Linked DNA regions of Sus scrofa. The protein of the gene in region 3 purifies or fractionates together with the protein of the main gene of each other region. This does not show direct contact. Links are inferred from orthologs where the notes say so. Each region holds a gene or a part of one and is shown on either strand. Other genes may lie near its edges. The genes, in order: SLC12A7, SLC12A6 and LGALS3.

Region 1 (6,738 bases), on a different chromosome or scaffold from region 3:
AGAAGGGCAGGGCCAAGGGAAATGGCCCCGTCTCAAGGCTCCTGAACGTCGGCTGGCTCTTCGAGAAGCAGCGCAGCCAGGGCCCCCAGCGGCCCCCAGGGATCAGCTCTTGGCCCGGGGCCCTGAGACCCAGCCTGGGACCCCAACACCCAGCCCAGGGCCCCGACACCCCAATCGAGGCCCGGACTCCCAGCCCGGGGCCCTGAGACTCACCAACAAAGTTCTTCCAGGAGAAGGGGTTGTCCCCCTGCTTCCAGGCTGCGGGCCAGGCCATGAGCACCGTGTTGTGCCGCATGGCCCCCAGGCCGGCCGACTGGATCAGGTGGGACACGCCGTCGCGCAGGCTGGGGGACACCACCAGCTGGCAGAAGCCCTTGGTCTTCTCGGCCGCCATCAGGGCCCGGATGTTCTGCGGACGCAGGGGCGCAGGATCAGGGGTCAGGGTAACCCCAACCCTCGGTCCCGGGGTCCAGACTAGGGCCGCCTGCGTGTGCACGTGAGTACACGCATGCGCACGCGAGCACACGTGTGTGTGCTCCCTGCCCTCGGGAAGGTGGGGCAGTCACGCGGCAGGCACTCTCGGACCTGCGAGGTCACGGACCCCCCCACCCTTCCACGCGGACCCCGGGTCCATTACTCCTGGTCTGCGGACCCCCGGCCAGCACGCATCCACCCAACAGCGCTCCCGACCAGGACCGAGGGGCCTGGAGGTTCAGGAGCGACAGGCCGGGCGTGTGCAGCTCTGCCCCTCGGCCACGCGCCAGGCATCCGACCCAGGGCAGCTGGACGTCACGGGGAGGCCGGGCACACAGTGACGACAGCGGGCCTTTCGCTAAGGACCTGTGCCTGCTGGTCCCCTCCCGGCCACACTGACCGGCCCCTGGGGCCTGACTCGGGGCCCCCCCGATGCAGCTGTGAACCACAGGGAAGGGCTGACACAGGCGGAACAGCCCTGCTGGAGCCCACGTGGCCGCCTCCTCCGGCCTGCGCCTCCCGGGCTGGGACGGCCTGGCGCAGGTCCCACAGGGCCCTTTGCCTCCACGTCACATGGGAGGTGGATGCCCCTCGGGATGTCCCAGCACCTGAGCCAGGTGGGCAGAAGACGAGATCTGGGGCTTGGCGGACAGTGTGAGGGGCTGGGACCCGGGGGACACCGAGACAAGACACATGCTTTTACGTGGAAGACGCAGGGGCAGCTTGGGGCCCAGAGGACAGACCACAGTGGGCTGACCTTGGCCCTGAAAGATATGCCCGCGTCCTAATCCAGAACCTGGGAGCATGGCCTCCAGGAGAGATCTTGAGTGAGTTAGGCGTCTTGACACAAAACCATCCTGGATTGCCCAGGCGGCCCCAGGTCCCATGGCAGTGTCCTCAAAGGGACAGACGAGACACAGACACTGAGAAAAAGCCACGAGAAGACAGAGGCAGAGATGAGAGGGAGGGGCCATGAGCTCAGGGCCGCCTGGAGCCCCAGCAGCTGGAAAAGGCAGTTGAAACCTGCTCTGAGCTCGGGACAGGGCGGCCCTGGGCCCCTCCATGTTGGATCTGGCCCCAGAGCTGGGACAAAAGGGATGGGTATTTGTTCCGGCCGTCCCAGGACCTCGTGGCAAGGGCTGGAGCCACGTCCCCTCAACCACCCGGCCTGAGCTGCCACCACATCGAAGGGCGAGGCGGCTGGAGAAGGAAGAGTCCAGACCCATCCTCGGACGTGACACGGGGTGGCCTCAGTGCGGTCGAAATGCAGTTCAGGGCTCGCGGGGCCCACGCTGCCCAGAGGCCAGAGCACAGGGGCTCAGCCGGGTCAGGAGGTGGCCACTCCGGGGGCTTTAAATGCCACATGTCCCCACTTTGAGACCACAGCTCTCAGGTCACTGGCTTAGGAAAGGCTGACCCGATGCAACAGCTTCAAGGAGCCACCATGGGTTTGGGGTCCTCCAGTCACGCTGATGGAAAACCCACCTCACCGCCCTGTGGGGTTTCGGGGGCCGCCTCAACCTCTGCAGCCCCTGCTCCATGCCCGGCCCTGGGTCCCCAAGACAAGGCCCTGCGGAACCTGGGGTCAGCGTGAGGGGCTTCTCTGACCCCAGCAGATGGGCCTCAGCCCCGCCCCAGGAAGCAGGCGCGTGGCCCTGCCTGCACCCTGGCTGACCCTCTCGGCCGCCCTCCTTCCACCAGATCGAGAGCCGCGATCCCGGTGGGAAGCAGCAGGGCCTCCCCTCAGGAGGCCCCCGCCTCAGTCACTAACCAAAGTCGAAGCAGGTGGGAGCCAGGTGGGTGCCTCCTGCAAGTGAGATGCTGTGCGTGCACCTGACCGTGACACCCCGGGGGTCCTCCCCTTTGGAAACCCCAGCGAGTGCCTCCACCCAGCCCTTGCCCTTGGTGACACACACGGCCCCGAGCCTCACCCCTGCTGAGCCCCTGGGGTGGAGCCCGGCCGTGCCCCCTCCACGAGGCTTCCCCCTCTTCCGCGGCGGCCACGGGACCCGGCCCTCCCGTTAGAGACACACAGCGGGCCTGAGCCCCCCATGCCCACGGGCCACGCGGACCTGAGTTTACATACACTGCCAGGCAGGCAAGAGCTGACCTTGGCCAGACCCTCGGAGGCCAGGCCCCAAGGGAGCTCCAGCCCTGAGAACTTGTCCTAAAAGCAGCCTCTCGTGGACAAGGCAGGTCTGCAGTCACTTACACCACCACGCTCCTGACCTGACAGTGATGGAACCCCCGCCGTTTCAGGAACCACAATTTCGTGGAACAAACCTCAGAGCACCCGGCAACAAACACCACACAGCCGTAGGAAACGAATCAGGCACCCAGCCAACCGGAAGACACGGCTTGGAAGCACGTGAGTGTGTGAGCCGAATGTGTTCTGCAGGATTGTTTGTGCAAAACGGCAACAGGAAAATACCCAGAAGAACACATCAGATGACAACACTCGCGTCTGGAAAAGGCTGTGAATTGAGCCACGTCAGTGCCCTTTTGCACAAGCTCGGAGCCCCCGATGCACACTCGGAGCTGGTGGCCGGGTGCCTGTCTGCCCCCCGCCGGCTCTGCCTCCCGGTTCCCTGGAAATGCTGGGGGACAAAAGGAGCCACAAGTGTGTCGCCCCCGGGGGCCAGAGGCCACAGTCAGACATGAGAACCAGGCCCCTCCCGCCCTTGGAAACGGGTCAAAGCAGGAAACGCACAAGGTGAGCCTGAGCTTCGCCACGCACGCAAGGAGCCACCGAGAGGCCTAGGGCACCAGCTAAGAGGCTGCCCGCCAGCACATCGCGAGGGCAACATGCCACGTCTACAGCCAGGCTCACAGCCACAACCCCAGTGTGCACACCCAGGCCCAGGCGAGCAGTGGCCACGTTAAACCCCCGGGTCAGAGAACGGCCAGCGCCTCTGGAGAGACAAGGAAAGGATGCAACGGGCGCCCTGAACCAGCCACCCAGGCCCCGCGGGGCCGGCGGGCCAGCTGACCGGAGGGGGTGTTGATGCACCGGGTTTTGCCGGCCACAACCCCCTGGAGCAGCCGTGCCCACCCGGGAAGGCCTGGCTGTGATGCAGTCCGGCTCACAGCCCCACAGACAGCAGGGGTGCCCCGGACGCCTGGATGCAGGATGCAGGCGAGGGGCCCACCCAGAGCGACACCCAGAGACGCGGCCCGGCTGACACGGAGCTGGGCTGGAGGCAAGCGGGGGTCTGGACGCGGCCTGGGGACTGGGCGACAGTGGGGATGCCGTTCGGATGCCGTTGCAGAGACAGACTCGGCGTTTGGGATGAAAAGATGTTGTGCGGCGGGTCTGTGCCAGGACCCAGGGCGGGAGGCGCCGGCACATGCGCCCCGCTCACCCTCTGTCCTCCGCTGCCGAAGCAAACGAGCAGGGACTGGCCCCCCGCGGCCACTCTCGATGCCCGACGGCGTCCCCGAGGGTCACGGGCGCCCGGGCCTCGCACGGCAGACGTTCCCAGCAGGTTTCCATCCTGCTCGTTCGAACCCCCACACGCTGGCGCCCAGCCCCACCTCCTCGGCCTGCTGGGCCTCTGCGTGTTGGTCCAGGAAGGTCCCCTCCAGCACGGAGCCCACGATGGTCAGGCCCTTGCCGGCCTTGAGCTGCGAGGTGAGCGACAGCAGGCGGGGGTGCTTCGCGCGCCACTCGGCGTCCAGGTTCAGCAACACCAGCACCTGCGGCCTGGGTGGGGAGCAGCGGTTACCATGACGACGGGACACTGCACTCGGCAGGCGCGCCCCCCCACCTCTGCCCGGGGGATGGAGGGCAAGGGGCCTCCAGCACGGGGCAGCTCAGAGGGGCAGCTCCCCACCCCCTCCCAGACCCGAGAAGCCTGGCAGGTGTCCTCTGTCCACAGCAGGTCCCCAAAGATGACCTCACCCCAATCCCCCACCTCCACCCTCGCAATGTCTCCTCAACCAACGATCAGATCGAGCTGATCACGCGCGGGGAGGGCGGTGATGGGGGGGGAAGCACCATGAACAAGGCCATGGCAGCTTCCTTGACAACCTAACTGGGGGTGAGCTTCTTGCCACCAAGCCTGGGGACGGACACGCCCGTGGGCTCAAAGGGCGTGAGGGTGGGCACTCACCTCCAGTTCTTGGTGTGGGGGGTGCCATGCTCCACGCGCAGCAGGGCGTAGTGGGCGGCGTTCAGCGACAGCCCCCGGATGCCGTCGCCCCACTCCTTCTCGGCCCTGGGTGGGTAGGGGCAGCCGTGAGCCCTCCCCGCAGCACATCCAGCTGGTACCCGGGCAGCCCCGGGGAGGCCCTTGGGGTCTCTCAGCACTTCTGGGGCAGCGCAGGGGGCTTCCGAGGCCGACCAGGGACAGGAAGGAGCAGGACGTGGGGAGGGGCACTGGGTGGGGGTGGCGCGGGCACCGTGAGGGGCCTCAGAGCCAAGGCCATGGACAGACAAAGGGAGGGGACTCCGGTGGCAGGCGGTGGCTGGGCACCAGCAGGAGCAGCACAGTCCCCAGACCCTGGATGGCCACCTGGAAGAGCTGGGAGGGGACCTGAGGCAGTGCCCCCAGGGCCCCCGCCGCCCCGAGGGGCCAGGGCCTCGGGGGACACGCCCCTCGTGGTGGACCAGGGGCTCTGGGCTGCAGCCAACCTGCCCACAACTGCGGTTTGGTGCGGTGTACTTCCTGGGAATTTTGAAACCCACCACGCAGCAGTGCGTCACCAGCTGGATTTCAAAGCCCCAAAGCACAGTCCTTCACACTTTGACACGGCTAAACCTGCGGGTACGTCGAGACGAACGCGGGACAGTCGTGCGGCCCCTTAACCGCAGCAAACGCGCTCTCCTTGCACTAGACTCACAGGCAGGAACCCTGAACGGCCGGCAGGGGAGGCGGGCTTCGCCGGCTCGGTCACCAGAGGGCCCCGTGCACCTGCCCCGGGGAGGCCCCCAGCGCCGGGCTGTGGGGACCCCGGCGTCGCGGCTCACCCGCGGTACTCGATGTACTTGTAGATGCAGCCGGCCACGAGCATGGCGAAGAGGGCGTAGTACCAGGAGCACACGAACATCAGGGCGAAGCACAGGCTCATGCCCAAGAAGGAGAGGGTCCTGGGGACACAGAGCTCGTGGGGCCATGCCTCCCCGCCAGCCCCAAGCTGGCGTCCGAGCAGGGGCCCTGAAACGTCCCGTCCCTCCGCAGGAACCCTCTGTTCGTACAGGAACACAGCCAGGTGCTCCTCCGCTCCTCCCCTGGCACCACCCCAAAGGCGGACGCCACCCCGCTGGGCACCAACAACGGGCTTCACGCATCCGCCAGGGCGCCAGGCACACTGGGCACACGGAGACCCGGCGCCCTCACCAACCCACTGGGCTCCTTCCACAGGGGACGACCGGGGACCCAGGCGGCAGCTGGCCTGGCGGGGACCGGGCTCACCAGTGGTAATACTTGAAGCGAGGGCGCCAGTTGGGCGTGCGCAGCAGGGTCTGCAGAGCACAGGCCAGGTTCACGAACATGTAGCACATGAGGAAAAACCTGGGGACGCCAGCTCAGCATGAGGGGCTGAGCCCGGTCCCAAGGGGGCGCCCACGCTGCCCCCACGCCCGGGAGCCCCATCCCTCTTCCCTACGCAGCCGTCCCACCACCCCGCCCCGCTCCGCACGCGCAGGCACGAGCGCCTGGCGCTCTGCTGTCCCCTGAGCAGGAGGCGAGCCCAGGAGCAGAGGCCTCCGGCGGCCGACAAGCGGGCAGGACCCTCACATGGAGAGGATGGGGGCCACGCTGTCCAGGGAGGCGATGAGGATGCCGGTCTCGCAGATGAGGGCCGTGAGCAGCAGGGCCCAGGTGGGCTCCCCGTTGGCCTTCCCGTGGCCGAACACCTGCAGGAAGAGGGGCAGGCGGGCCAGTGGCCTCGGGGCAGAGGCCGGGCGAAAGCTCGTGAAGACGGCTGCTCAACTCAAGAGGGCCTCCGAGACGCGACAGAGGCAGAGGCGGACTCGCCACCGCGCGTCCTGGATGGACCTCGTCCGGGAAGCAAAGCGACCCCCAGGGAGTGGAGAGTGGCCCGGGTGCCATCAGAGCCTACGACCCTCGTACGGCACCGGTCAGCGTGCAGGGCAACACCACGGGGCACACGCCCTGGGAGACTCCTGCGGGGACCCGCACCCACAGGGACCCCCACGGGGACGGCAGGGCGCCGGCAGAGCCTCCTCCTCCCCACCTCCTCCCGCGCGGTTCTGACGTCCAGGGCAACACGGGACGAGGCCTCGGGGTGGGGGCTCGGATC
Region 2 (6,738 bases), on a different chromosome or scaffold from region 3:
CTATACTTCAATAAAACTTTTTATAAAAAGTGTTATACAAAATAATTGTAATGATTACCTTAAGTCCTATTTCTGCTATCATTACTCTAAACCTCTCAGTGAATAACTAAAGAATATTTTATTTCATTGGGATAGACATCAAAAAAGATAAACTTTATTTTACTTTTCCTCCATTAGCCAAGTCTTGCCTCTGAGACTTCATCTTTGGGGTCAAGGTGGTAGGGTGATGCAGAATGAGTAGGCAAGCAAGGGATACCTCCATCTTTCAGACTCATGTTTATAGTTGGTGATCAATAACAGGTTAACAGTCAGTCATCTGATTAATTCCATCTCTTTTTTCTTTTTGGTCTTTTTAGGGCTGCACTAACGGCATAAGGAAGTTCTCTGGCTAGGGGTTGAATCAGAGCTGCAGCTGTCGGCCTACCACACAGCCATGGCAACATGGGATCCGAGCCACATCTACGACCTACACTACAGCTCATGGTAATGCCAGATCTTTAATCCACTGAGTGAGGCCAGGGAACAAACTCATATTTTCATGGATACTAGTCAAGTCCGTTATTGCTGAGTCACCATAGGAACTCCAGAAGTTTTGATACCAAAGAAAAAAATACATTCAAATCTATATATTTTCTACACTGTAAACCACAATTAAATCATTACTCACCAGAAAAATTTCAATGGCACCAAGGATGTACATGGCTGCTGCAAACGTGGTACCAAGATAAAAGCAGAGGCCAACAGCCCCACCAAACTCTGGGCCCAGTGCTCGGGATATCATAAAGTATGAGCCCCCAGCTAAAAGACACAACAGAAGAACAGGATAAAAAAAGTATGTTAGTATTAGGAAAGTCAGCAAGTCATAAAGAAGGAAGATAACTGATTCAGACTTTTGAAAACCCTAAATGTGATAAAAAGCAGATTTCCTAGTAGGAAGTAAAAGATGAAACCTTTAAACGACACATCTAATATGCTCCATATAAAGCAGCACAATTTGTCAGTATTACTTAAAAAATAGCAGAGGATTATTACACGCATGAGACAGCAGAATAAAACATATATTCTAATGAAAAGAAGCTAAGAATGCAACAGAAATAAGGGATTTTTAATCTTAAAACATAAAGAGATTTCTTTAAAGAAGGTATTCTAAAGTCAAGTAGTGTTAGTGCCTATGGCCAACATACTAATTAGTATTCTGTTCCTTGGAAGTTTACGCCTCATTACAGCATAAATATACAATCTCTGAAATCCAGTCTTAGCTACTGACCTGGCACCACTCCATTAGTGGCAATGGCACTCATGGAGATAGCAGTCAACATTGTCTGTAAAGAAAGGGAAAGGAGAAGACCGTTACTGTATAAAGATGGTATTTCTATACTACTTTCCCATTTGCAGACCTCAGAGCACTGATCGAACATCTAATTCTATCTACTTTTACGGAAGCGGTTGCCTGTCATACCGAATTTCATGGAAATGAGATGATGTGCTTTGACGCACTGATGTGCTTCAATCATACTACTAGTATCGGGAGAATTCTGCTAAAATACTCCTATATTGTAATCAGTAGGTTAGGTGCTATTAAGAACCACTCATCTAGTCCCGGTCTCCTAAATTGAAAACTCAGAAAACAGATTAGAAACTGACTAAAGACTGGCTACAATAACAAGAACAACATTCAGTAAGAAGGGAAACCACTAAAGACTGCCCAGCTCATAAGAACTGTATTTTAAAACATTACCTGGTAGTAGCAGAGTACAGAATGGACTGCAGATAGGGAGTAGATGGAGGCAGAGTGACTTGTTAGTAGGCTATTGTTGTAGTTCAGAGAGAGGGAAGGACTGCAGTGGCAGAAGTAGGAGTATAAAGAAAGGGTTGAACGAAAGAGATTTCAGAGGGAGATTTGATTTGATTGGTCTTGATAGCTCATGAGATGTGAGAGGCAATCAAGGAACCAAATAGGGCCCTGAAGTTTCAAGACTAAGAAACTGAAAAAAAAATGGTGGTATCATTAAGTTACTAACAACATGGACTATGTCTCCTTACCCTGCTTTGCACAATACTCAGCTGAGCACAATGCACAGGGAGTGTATGATGGTGATAGTAATAAAAGGTCAGTAGACAGCTGAATAATGAAATTAAAAAATTTATAATAATCAACTTACAATAAAATTGAGAGATGTGGCTGGGATACACAGATAAGAGAAGTTTAAATTAAAGGAAGTTCAGAATGTTCTCAGTGTAGTGAAGAGAAGATCTGGAAACAATACCCAAATTTCTGGGGAAAGGACAATGGATGAGACTTCAAAACAAAACAAATACCTCTCATTTCCAAACAACAATCAGTTTTGTTAATCTTCACTATACTGGAGTAAGCATATCATGTTTTCTAACACATTTTCTGTCACAACATTGGTATTATCAAGCTCAAATAGTTTGTATCTGAATTTTTGGAAGTCAGAACCTGTATCTTCTCCTTCTTATAGAAGTCCTTCTTTGTAATTTCAAGTATATCATATTATAAACAGTAAATAACTGACACTAAGTAATTGAAGATCCTTTAGATTTTAATATCAAAATAATCTCTCCTGTTGAGATGGCAAGTCCTTCCCCAGTATGTATTCTTTGTTTTATTCTCAAAGAGGCCAAGCATGATACTCGAGCTTGAGCAGTGTTCCAGGTGATCTCCAGGAGCCAACTTGGGACTTACACAGCAGCAGCAGATAAGGACAATTGCAAAGGCCTGCAGAACTCCAGCTGTGCCCACCACCCATGTAAGGCGTAGAAACAGGATCACTCCAAAAATATTCTGTAGACATGGGAGGTAGACACCCATGAAGGTACCCATTTGGGGGGTCTAGAAAGAAAGATGTTGATGAAAGAAAAAATCATATAGTCATCATCTAGAAGTGATGCTTTTATCCCTTTATTTTTATATAAAAACTTGCACCCTAACTATGAACTGCATATGAATTGCAAAGTAGAGATAAATTTAAGCACTATCTTTAAACAGGCACATATAAAATCTCCATCTTAACAAATTTCTATCACTATACCCTTTATTATTCCTAGAGACACACATTTTTTTTTTTTTTTTGTCTTTTTGCTATTTCTTGGGCCGCTCCCGAGGCATATGGAGGTTCCAAGGCTAGGGGTCGAATCAAAGCTGTAGCCACTGGCCTACGCCAGAGCCACAGCAATGTGGGATCCGAGCCGTGTCTGCAACCTACACCACAGCTCACGGCAACGCCAGATCGTTAACCCACTGAGCATGGGCAGGGACCGAACCAGCAACCTCATGGTTCCTAGTCAGATTCATTAACCCCTGCGCCACGACGGGAACTCCAGACACACATTTTTATTTTACATAAGTCTCCACATATTTTTACACAGACATTTGATCACAAACTTTTTTTTTTTCTTTTTTTTGGCTGCCCCACTGCATATGGAGTTCCCAGGCCAGGGATCAGATCCAAACTGCAGCTGCAGCAATGCTGGATCCTTGATCCACTGTGCCAGTCCAGGGATCAAGCCTGTGTCCCGGGACTCCCAAGACGCCACTGATCCAACTGTGCCACAAACAAACTTTTAAGTGCATCTTCAATAATTTAAAATTTTTTCTCTTCAAAGCCAATGGCTCTTTCTGTTCTTTTTTTTAAATGGAATAATGACTTGATGGAATTCTGTTAGAATTTGGCATAAATCTTTCATAGCAGGTGGTAAATGTAATTGATAAAAAATGAAGATCTGAGTGTCACTTTACTCCTGAACAACCAGAAAACTAACTTGTAATACTATCCCATATTTTCATGTTGAGAGAAACTGGTATTTGGTCTTAAAAAGCCCAACAACTTCACCATAGAGACATGGCGTCAGTGGATGGATATGGCCAATTTTCTTTTCTCATTTTTTTGTCTGTACCCATAGTATGTGGAAGTCCGTGGGCCAGGGACCAAACCCGTACCACAGCAGTAACAACACTGGATCCTTAACCCACTGCACCAGGAGGCAATGCTGGGTGAGATACTTTTCTTCTGGTGTGATATTCCATCTCCCTGGAACACTGCCCCCCAACTGTTTTACATGGCTCACTACCTCTCGGGCCTGGCACATATCAAGCATTCTTGCACATAGAGTGATGGCCTGGATATCTCCTTTATTATAATATTGGGCTCCTTTTATTTATCTTTGTTATTCTAAGGCCTCACCTTGGTGGCCTTCTTTTTCCCTTCAGTGATGTTCTCTGCCTCTTCATGTTCTTTTGCTCCTTGTGTCAGGTTAGTATAATTGGCCAACCGGTTGAGGAGAGAAGACACTTTTGGCCTGGTGTCCATTTCTTCCTATAAAGCCAGAAATACGAATGAAATACATGATGAAGACACTGTACATAAGCATAAAAATGATCCCTCTACCAGAAAGTTACAAAGTAAATGAGAAAAATTTCATAGGTAAACATTTTAAGAAAATTTATTGATGAGACTGTTTGCCCCACATATTATAATACATAATCAGGGCTACACAAATACTTATGAAACACTTTTTTTTTTTTGGACTACATCCATGGCATATGGAAGTTCCCAGGCCAAGGACTGAAGCCGAGCCACAGCTGCCACCTACCCTGCAGCTCAGGTAACACTGGCCCCTTTAACCCACTGTCCCTGGCCAGGTATCAGACCCATGCCTCCTTGGTGACTTGAGCTGCTGCAGTCAGATCCTTAACCCAATGCACCACAGCAGGAACTCCCTTATAAAATTCTCAAATGAAAAGCTTTATTATTCCTAATAGCTTAACTTTACCATAAAAGCAAAACTACATGGGCTCCTACAGATAGTTGTAGTCCTTATAAAGAACACCGATAACATAATCTTTAAGCACAGTGATACTAACAGTCTACTAATATTTATAGCAATTATTCATGGTACCAAGCATGCACAGATCAAAAGAAAACTTGTGATTGAATCAAATATTCACCTCAGACCTTTTCTTGAAGGCAGATAAAATAACATTTAAAAAATAGGTACACTGAGAAAAGTGGCACTTGAGTCATTGTCCAAAGTAAGACAAAGGCAGTGCTGAACTAAACTAGGCTCCTTTCAACCTGGCCACAGAATATCAGAGTTCATGCTGTCTTAGTCAGATAAGGCATTAGCAAGTCCTCTGAATCCAGCAGCCTGGAGTTCCCATCATGGCTTGGCACTTAATGAACCCGACTACTATCCATGAGAATGTGGGTCTGATCCCTGGCCTTGCTCAGTGGATTAAGAACCCGGTGTTGCTGTGAGCTGCAGCAGACGTGGCTTGGATCCCGCATTGCTGTGGCTATGATGTAGGCCAGTGGCCACAGCTCCAACTGGACCCCTAGCCTGAGAACCTCCATATGCCTCAGGTTCGGCCCTAAAAAGACCAAGGAAAAAAAAAAAAAAATCCAGCAGCCTGCTTCCTACTCTGACTTTGGGTTAGTAAGATAAATGACAGTCATCCCAAACACAGAGTTGAAAAATGCTTTATACTTAGTAGATTTTTCCAATATAAACATTTAAATCCTAGCTGAGTTAGATAACAAAGTTCTCCATATGCCTGTGATGTCAACATTTCTCCTCTTTACTCCATGGAAATTTGATTAAATGATTATCTATTAATCAACAATAATTATATAGATTAAATCAACTACAATGACAAGCTATAATAAGCACTATACTTTAACAGCTAGTTATTAAGGAATCCAACCTACAATGTTTTAAAACTAAATGGGGTGGGAAAACAGCAATCTTGAAATCTCTGTTCTTAAAATCTATGCCCTGTTCCTCCCAAATATTACCTCAAAGAGTGCCAAATTTTTATCAAAATATTCATCTCCTTCTTCATAATTGGAATTGTTAAGATAAGCATTTCGAGCTTTCTTATGCCCATCATCTGGAAAATAAAAGTAAACCAAGTTAGTTTCTCACTAGTATTGAAGAAGCATCAGCACCAAATAATTCCATATCAGCTCTGTAAAAACAGAACCCATTTTTACATTCAAATTTTCATCTCAGAATGGGAGAACTCAACCAGCACTGTTTGGAGAATGTGATTCTTGAACAGGAGCAAAAGCAAATCTCTAAGAAGTAAATATGGCTCATTCCTTTTCTTAACAACATGAAGACCTCTGGAAACACTATTCTTTTAGGAGTCTAGCCTATGGGGACCCTACTATTAACAGAGCCCAAATCTAGGATGGAAAAAAAAAATAGAACAATCATTGAGTACTTCCTCAGGGTATCAAGGATACTTTACACACTGCTACTGTTGATAACAGCAGTAAAAGCCCTCTGCCTTCACGGCTGTCTGTCCTTTTATAAATGACATTAGGTCACTTACCCTAGTATTATTTTTGTACTAACAGTTGCCACATTATCTGTTTACGGTTTTTTTTTTTTTTTTTTTTTTTTTTTTTTTTTTTTTTGACTGTGCCTGAGACACTGGGAAGTTCCTGGGCCAGGAATGGAACAGGCCCCACAGCAGTGACAACACTGGATCCTTAACCTGATGAGCCACCAGGGTGTTCTTTTATCCTAAAAGAGGAACCCTGCAAGAATTTGGTGAACTAGCTATAAGGAAAAAGAAAAAAAGATTAGGTCTTAGTAGTTTATGTTGACTGCTTACTTAACTTTCATTCTTTATTGTATAAAAGTTACATAGTTATCATAGTCTGGTAGGAGAGAGAGAGAAAAAAAATTGTGTAAATGTCATTAAGTACT
Region 3 (7,326 bases):
GTTATCAGCATGCGAGGCATGACTCCTCCAGGCAAAGGCAGGTCATATGGCACATTCTGCAAATAAAACATATAGGTATATATATATATATGTATACACACACACACACACACACACACACACATAAAGGAGTCATATTTTCTTGAGGAAAGAAAGAAAAAGATGTTGCTAAAGTTTAACCACTATTAATATGTGTGAATAACATATAACCCTGCTGAAAGCCGTCTTTTCAGACTCTTAGGCCAGCTTGCCCAGGGCCTGAAGAGAAGATTCCCTACACAACTACAACTAATAATTGAGAATAAGGTCATCCATTAATTGCTACCAAAGGCAGACCATGTCCCCTTTGGGAGCACTGGATCTCTCATGATGAGGGCCATTACAATATAAAACTCATGCATTAGCTTACTTTATGAGAAGGCTTAAGTTAGGCCTTGCAATCAACATTTTTGTGCCACTCTTAAGATCCTTTTCATCCAACATGATTCACTGTGGTTATTCTGCCTCCTGAAGGCAGACACTGTGGCATCTTCTGGGCTTCTGAGGTCTCCTATGGTCCACTCACACAGGCCCAGTGGAATGCTTTGAATGTGGCAGGTACTCAACATTTGTGGAATGGTCACTTCCCAGTTAACACATGCTCCAGTTCATTCTGCAAATATCTATTGACCATCTATGTTCAAGGTGCTGTAAGTATTCCCAATGCTCTGCCTTTGGCCTCTTCTCTTTTTCCTTAATAATTACTTCCCCCCAAGCAACCGTCATCCAACTCTCTTTTCTCTCTAGACGTGATCTGTACAAGACCTGTGCTTCCTCCTTGTCTGGCTTTGCTACTGGTGCTGCAAATCCAACCAGTATGAACTGGAATTTTCTCCCCTGCTCCTCCCCAATCTGGTCCCCTTCCCGAGTTCCTGGTTTGGGCTGACCTTTGGCTGGTGCTCTCCTTGCCCAACCTTAAAAAGCCAGAGTTGTCTCTGACTCCTAAAACTTAACCATGAGATCCCGGGGTTCTTCTGCTGCAATCTCTCCCCATCCACCTCTTCCTAAGACTTAACCACTAGATCCTGGGGTTTTTTTCTCTGCAATCTCTCCCCATCCACCTCTTCCTTTCCACAGCCTCCCTTGTCCCCTTGCCTCAGCTGACTACATGTCTTTGGTCCAAGCTCTGCTCAAAGTCTCCCATGCCCCCAGCGCTCTCTCTTCTCTCCTCTAAGCTGACCTACAAGCAGATCAAATGCTTCCTGTGCCATCATAGTGGGATCACATCCTGAAAGGGGCTGATCCCACTCTACTATTGAACTATTTCCTCATATTAGTACATTTTCTCCCAACTAGACTATCTAGAAGGGAAGGATCTGTGTCTGAGATGTGTCTGGGATCCCACAGAGTTATATTTTTATGCTTACAATTGATTTATTAAAATGGGTTTTACTATAAAATGAAAATTCAACCCTTAGATCACAAAATTCTCTTTAGAAGGTTTTTAAAAATGAGATTACCATGGGTCCTTCAAAGGGTCCCTCTAAGGCCATGGAAATGTGGTTTAACTCTTTATTGTACCATTTCTTCATTTTGTAAAGTGGTTTTAACAATAGTATTTTATGGGGAGCTTATGGGATTGAATGAGATCATCCATGAAGAGGTACACAGCTGGCACGTTACGTACCCAGTGTTTATTAACAATAGTAACAACCCACACCTCCCCCATTTCTATGACCTTAACTTGATTTATATTAAAGCTGCTTTACAGATGCCTTCAAAAGATACATTAGCTCCTCTTTGTACTAACAGTCCACATGCTTAAACTCAACAGGAACAACAGTCTTTTCTACTGGACCAACATACACTGTGGCTGGTGGTTGCACAGCGGTTCTAGGCAGTGAGATGAAAGCTTCAAGTCTCCCTGAAGCCCTTTGCAGGTCAGGGCCCAGGGAGCACTGCAAAGTGATGGCACCACCACCTCAGACAATTGCTACATTCTTCATTAGCTATGTCCCTATCACTATATCCAGGTGTGTGAAATGACCAATTCCTCTTACCAGTGGTCCAGAAGGGGCACCATAGGGGCCAGTGGCAGGGTAGGCTCCAGGAGCACTTGGCTGTGCAGGAGGCGGGTAGGCGCCAGGCCCACCTGGTTGCCCAGGGTAGGCTCCTGGTGCGGCTGGGCCAGGATAACCAGGTGCTGTTGGGCCAGGGTAGGCCCCTGGAGGTGCCTGTCCAGGGTAGGCGCCAGGAGGTGCCTGTCCAGGGTAGGCACCAGGAGGCCCCTGCCCAGGGTAGGTGCCAGGATAGGAAGCCCCTGGATAGCCTCCTGGCCCAGCAGGCTGGTTTCCCCATGCACCAGGCCATCCTTGAGGGTTTGGTTTTCCAGACCCGGATAAAGCATCGTTAAGCTGGAAAGAAAGACATAAACCATTACAGGATGAAAAACACAAAAACAGAATTTTCAGGTAAATAGGAATATGTAATCTAAGAATTAGAAGGATAGGGTGAAGCTATGAACTTCCTATGAATAAAATTTCCCCACCTATTCACTGAGTTCCTAAGACTAAAATTAGACTTTGGGATTATACCTGCTTTATCACTTTATTCTTGCCTCCCATCATCTCAGATCATTAGGGTTGCCTTTTCCTAAGTTGCTGAAGTTGGGAGCTAGCCATCCTCTATGTAAAAGCACATATGTTCTCACTGACATGAGGAAAATAATCACAAAATCAGGATGCTCTTGGGCTGCAAGAGCTCCACCCAGCTGGCCCTGGTTGCCTTGACCTTCCCATTGCTGGGTGTCTGCTGCACGACTCCAGCTAATGAGTGGCATCCAGGATAGAACTGGAGAAGCTGCCTTGTGCACAGGGAGGGGCCTGGGAAATAGAGTCATAAGATTTGGTTTGAAATCCAGTGCCATCCATCAAGACCTCCGAAGGCTTGGAGACATCATGTTACCTGGATAGAACTTAAGTGTCTTTGTTTGTAAAATGGGAGTAATGATCTCTTTCACGAAATTACTGGGATGAACAAGTGAGGCAGCATCTGGGAGGACTCCGTATAGACTGCAAGGTGCTGGGCCAGTGTTCGTTGGTGTCCTTTCTCTCCAGGAAGAGACACTGCCTTCTCCCTTCCTGTCTCCTATGGTATTTAGCAGAGTAATGTGGTATTTACGTGATACTCAGTAAAGATTGCTGTGTTGATTGAGTATCATCCATTAGGATTGTCTGATCTTTTGTGTTCTGGGGTTTTTTTGTTTTCTTTTTTGGCCATGCCCATGGCATGCAGGAGTTCCCGGACCAAGGATTGAAACCACACCACAGCAGTGACAATGCCAGATCCTTAACCCACTGTGCCACCTAGGAACTCTGACAGTCTGAACCTTTGATGCATTAGGAATCCAAGCCCAGACCTGGTATTAGAACAACAAGCCGAGGCTGTAAAGGGAGCCCAGGGGCCTGGGGGAAGGGGAGAGAAAATCAGAGGGCTTGATGAGGAAACGTAAACTGGATTTAGGAAAATAGACTCATGGCTGTAGGTGGGGTGAGTCATTCTGTTAATTTGGGAATACTAATGGGAATTTATTTTGACTGCTTCTTAGTTCAGCATTTGGGAAGGGAGGAGGGGTAGAGGGCACCACAGTATTAAAGAAAAAAATCAGGATGCTGAGACAGCCCATTGCTCAGTGGATTTCTTAGCTCCTGCCAGCAGAATCCACCCGCTTCTGTCCTAGGCAGTTCAGTAAAGGGGTTACTGTTAGTGAGGCCCAGGCCTCTCTGCCTGGCTTTCTTCCTGAATTTGTTGCTGGAAAAACACAACTCCAGCTAACGAGTGGTGGGAGAGTTAGATGGAAACTCTGGTGACTAAAAAGAAAAAGAAAAACAAACAAAACAAAACCCTCAACCTGCATGAATGTCTACACATGAAGGTAGGAAAACAGACATAAGACACTTACCGAAAAACCGTCTGCCATTCTCCTAAAAGGAGAAGGAAAAAAAAAAAAAAAAGAGCCACAGGTTATCATTTGATCCTGAAAGATTTTTGGTTTCTGCCTGAATAACGTCACAAACAGCTCACTAAGCAGGACTAGTCCATCTACAGGGATTCTAACACAAGCCAGTCTAGTCCCCAAATACACCTAAGTCAGTAGTGGGGAGCCACAAAAATGTCTCATTTCATCGTGGGGCGGGGTCGTGCTCTGCCTGGATTGCCACACCCTATTTAACTCAGAACTAAACTCTAATCACAAGAGCCTGTGGCCTGAATCACGGGAGTAACAGCCATGCTCTGCTGCCGGTGGGAGGGAAGGAGTGAAAGTAAACAGTTTCCTAGGTAATACGTGTTTGTCCTGGTTGTCTTTGGTCCCCCTTCACCTTCCTTCCTGTGCTCTCTTTCCACCACCTCCTAAAAAGTGTTCAGTGCATTAATATCACCCACCGCCCACTCCCCTGGTGAACAAAAGCCAGGGTTCCCGTGCCCTCCCCTGGGATTTAGGAGGAAAGCAGTTGGTTGATTCCTATATTCCCCACTTTCCCCCCACAAGACGTAGTTGCTGCTGTTGGTTTAGTCCTTCATTTGCATACATTTATGTCTCTTGTGGGCTCCTAACTGGGTTTGAAGATGGAGGCAGTCAACATGTATGGTCCCTTCACAGGCCAGACGAGGTGAAAGTGATTGACCCTGTGGGCCAGACCACATGCCATGGGAAGTCACAACTGGAAAGATTACTTCCAACAGGGAAAGGACAGTGTTGTTTGAGCTAAGCCTTGAAGGAAAGGTGAGACTGTTATGTGGAGCAATAAAGAGGAAAGATGGGCACAAGTTGCTTTTTTTCTTTTTTAAAAAAATAGTTGTTATTTCAAATGAAATCTCTCACAGTAAAATGAATGAAATTAAAAAAAAAAAAAGGTCAGACGATGCAGAGGAAACCATTTTGGGTAGGATGTTACAAAAGAGGGTCAGCCTTGCCCAACGTTGCCCCAAAGGGTAGCAGCGCTGATCCTGTCCACTGTCCCCACCCTCATGCCAAGGTGCCAAGTCCCCAACCAAACAGGATGTTTTACACCTGCTCTCACTGCTGGTGTTCTAGTGATGAGGGCAGAAGGGCAGCTTTGGACTCCTCAGGCCTGAATGAGTTGTCTTGACTCAAGATCAGCTGGGTATGGCCAAAATTACCCGGATCTTAAAACTATCAGAATCTTTTTCCTTAAGTGGCTTACTTGCCATAGTTCTGTTATTTGAAGAAACGAACCAATAAATGGTGGCTACTTGATGGGTTCTTAGGTTCCTTGATCGGCTCCCAAGAGGACAGAAACAAACCCCTCCCACCCCCCAAATATGGCTGTTCACCTTGGAGATCTGCCATGGACACCACTCCCAGAATGTGGATGCCCAAGTTGGGCAGCAAGAAACAATGGCAGAAAACAACTGCCCGCATAGATTAACCACCTGTAAGGATTAACTGCCCTCTGTCATGGAACTCAACCCCTACCCCTCCCTTGACCTTCCCCTCCTTCTTCTTCATTGTTCCTGCCACAGGTTCCTGCCGTGAACTCCAGCCACAGATCCTTTATAAGCCTAGAACCTCAATACAGTCAGGGCTGGCACCATTTTGAGCTCAGTCTGTGCCCCTCTGATGCCTTAATAAACCTCTCTTGCTTTATCAACTAGGCCTTGCGTGTTCCTCCCTCAGCAAAACTAACAGTTCTAAAAATGTAAAATACTACATTTCTTGGTTAAAAAAACAAGCAAGCAGAGCTCCTAGAACTTCATGTGTGCTTCATTTAAACACCAGGTATTTTATTCTACTCTGCTGTTCTTTATAAGAGTTAGATATTACCCCACCCCTTTTTTCTTTATGCACATCTCCTTTTTAATCTGGGCATTCTCGAACATATTTAGAAACACTCAGGTCATCACCGTGCCCAGCTTCCAATGTGGAAATTTCTGGCAATTTGGGAAGTCATAGTAATACTCTTCCAGGGCTTACAATCACGGTATTTAGTATACAGTATTTGATTTTTTTAAAGCAGAAGTTGGGTGTTCTGTGTTTCCTTCTCCAAAAGGCTGCCACTGCTTACAAAATTGTGCTGCTACTATAGGAGGAATTTGAGTTGTTACAGAAAAGGAAAAGACATTTTTAATAGATTATTTTCTACTTATTATTATTATTATTATTAGTCTTTTAAGAGCCGCACCCACAGCATATAGAAGTTCCCAGGCTAGTGGTAAAATCGGAGCCATAGCAGTTGGCCTACACCACAGCAACGTGGGATCCAAGTCACATCTTCGACCTACACCACAGATCAAGGCAATGCTGGATCCCTGACCCTCTGAGCAAGGACAGGAATTGAACCCACATCCTCATGGATACTAGTCGGGTTTATTACTGCTGAGCCACAACGAAAACTCCAGAAAAGACATTTCTTAAGTCAAGAAAATCAAGCTTCTCATTTTGGATGCCAATAAAAAACGATCTTGAACTTTACAGTGGGCAGAAAGCTTAATTCCTTTGATTACACATTCTTTTTCCACTCCTGAGCAACACACCAAAGACTCAGCAATAACTTTATGTTTTCACTTCTTTAAAATATCCCCATTGTGTACAGGCTTATTCTCAAACTCAGTGCCACTGACATTTCACATGTGATACTTTGTAGTGAGAGGCTGTCCCCTGCATTGTCGTATGTTTGGCAGCATCCTTGGCTTCAACATACATGATGCCAGGAGCACTGACTCCAGTTGTGATAATACAGAATCTTTTTTGTCTTTTTAGGGCCGCACCTGCGGCATATGGAAGTTTCCAGGCTAGGGGTCGAATTGGAGCTACAGCTGCTGGCCTACACCACAGCTCATGGCAATAAGTGGGATCCTTAATCCACTGATCAAACCCACTGATCAGACCCAGGGATCAAACCCAAGTCCTCATGGATACTAGTCAGGTTTATTATTGCTGAGCCATGACAGGAACTCCCATCCAGAATGTTTTAAGACATTGCCAAATATCTCTGGAAAGGGCTGGAAGAGGGCAAAATTTTGCCTGTTTTGAGAATCACTGGTCTAGGCTAATTAGCATGTATCTCTCCATATAAATGTACACATGCAGGTAAAAAAACCCCAGAAAGTTAGTTTCAATTGTTCAAGCTAGCTAAATGTGTACCACTGGCTAATGGTATGTCTTATTAACAAAACTGCAATTAAACTTAGATGTGTTTAAAGGCTAATCACAATCAGAAACACACAAAAAGCATTTTCAAAATTGAACATTTATTCTTTTCAAAGTCCCTGTTCAAGCATATTCAGTTTCTTTCCCAAGCAAAACAATTTGAGAAACAAAGCGGA

What was found.
Region 1: the proteins of LGALS3 (region 3) and SLC12A7 purify together in Homo sapiens (affinity purification with mass spectrometry; 3 studies listed by BioGRID and IntAct, counting the BioPlex papers as one, with this or other methods). This does not show direct contact. The link is inferred for Sus scrofa from reciprocal best matches to the Homo sapiens genes LGALS3 and SLC12A7.
Region 2: the proteins of LGALS3 (region 3) and SLC12A6 purify together in Homo sapiens (affinity purification with mass spectrometry; 3 studies listed by BioGRID and IntAct, counting the BioPlex papers as one, with this or other methods). This does not show direct contact. The link is inferred for Sus scrofa from reciprocal best matches to the Homo sapiens genes LGALS3 and SLC12A6.

What each region holds. Positions count from the first base shown.
Region 1 is NC_010458.4:79,382,509-79,389,246, reverse strand, and holds part of SLC12A7 (solute carrier family 12 member 7), read right to left. Parts: intron 6,332-6,738; coding exon 6,213-6,331; intron 5,988-6,212; coding exon 5,889-5,987; intron 5,564-5,888; coding exon 5,444-5,563; intron 4,692-5,443; coding exon 4,587-4,691; intron 4,178-4,586; coding exon 4,009-4,177; intron 410-4,008; coding exon 214-409; intron 1-213. UniProt on the Homo sapiens protein: Mediates electroneutral potassium-chloride cotransport when activated by cell swelling. May mediate K(+) uptake into Deiters' cells in the cochlea and contribute to K(+) recycling in the inner ear.
Region 2 is NC_010449.5:80,236,741-80,243,478, reverse strand, and holds part of SLC12A6 (solute carrier family 12 member 6), read right to left. Parts: intron 5,912-6,738; coding exon 5,817-5,911; intron 4,338-5,816; coding exon 4,206-4,337; intron 2,855-4,205; coding exon 2,708-2,854; intron 1,323-2,707; coding exon 1,268-1,322; intron 799-1,267; coding exon 668-798; intron 1-667.
Region 3 is NC_010443.5:184,482,764-184,490,089, reverse strand, and holds the start of LGALS3 (galectin-3), read right to left. Parts: upstream 3,964-7,326; 5' UTR 3,959-3,963; coding exon 3,941-3,958; intron 2,394-3,940; coding exon 2,040-2,393; intron 57-2,039; coding exon 1-56. UniProt on the Homo sapiens protein: Galactose-specific lectin which binds IgE. May mediate with the alpha-3, beta-1 integrin the stimulation by CSPG4 of endothelial cells migration.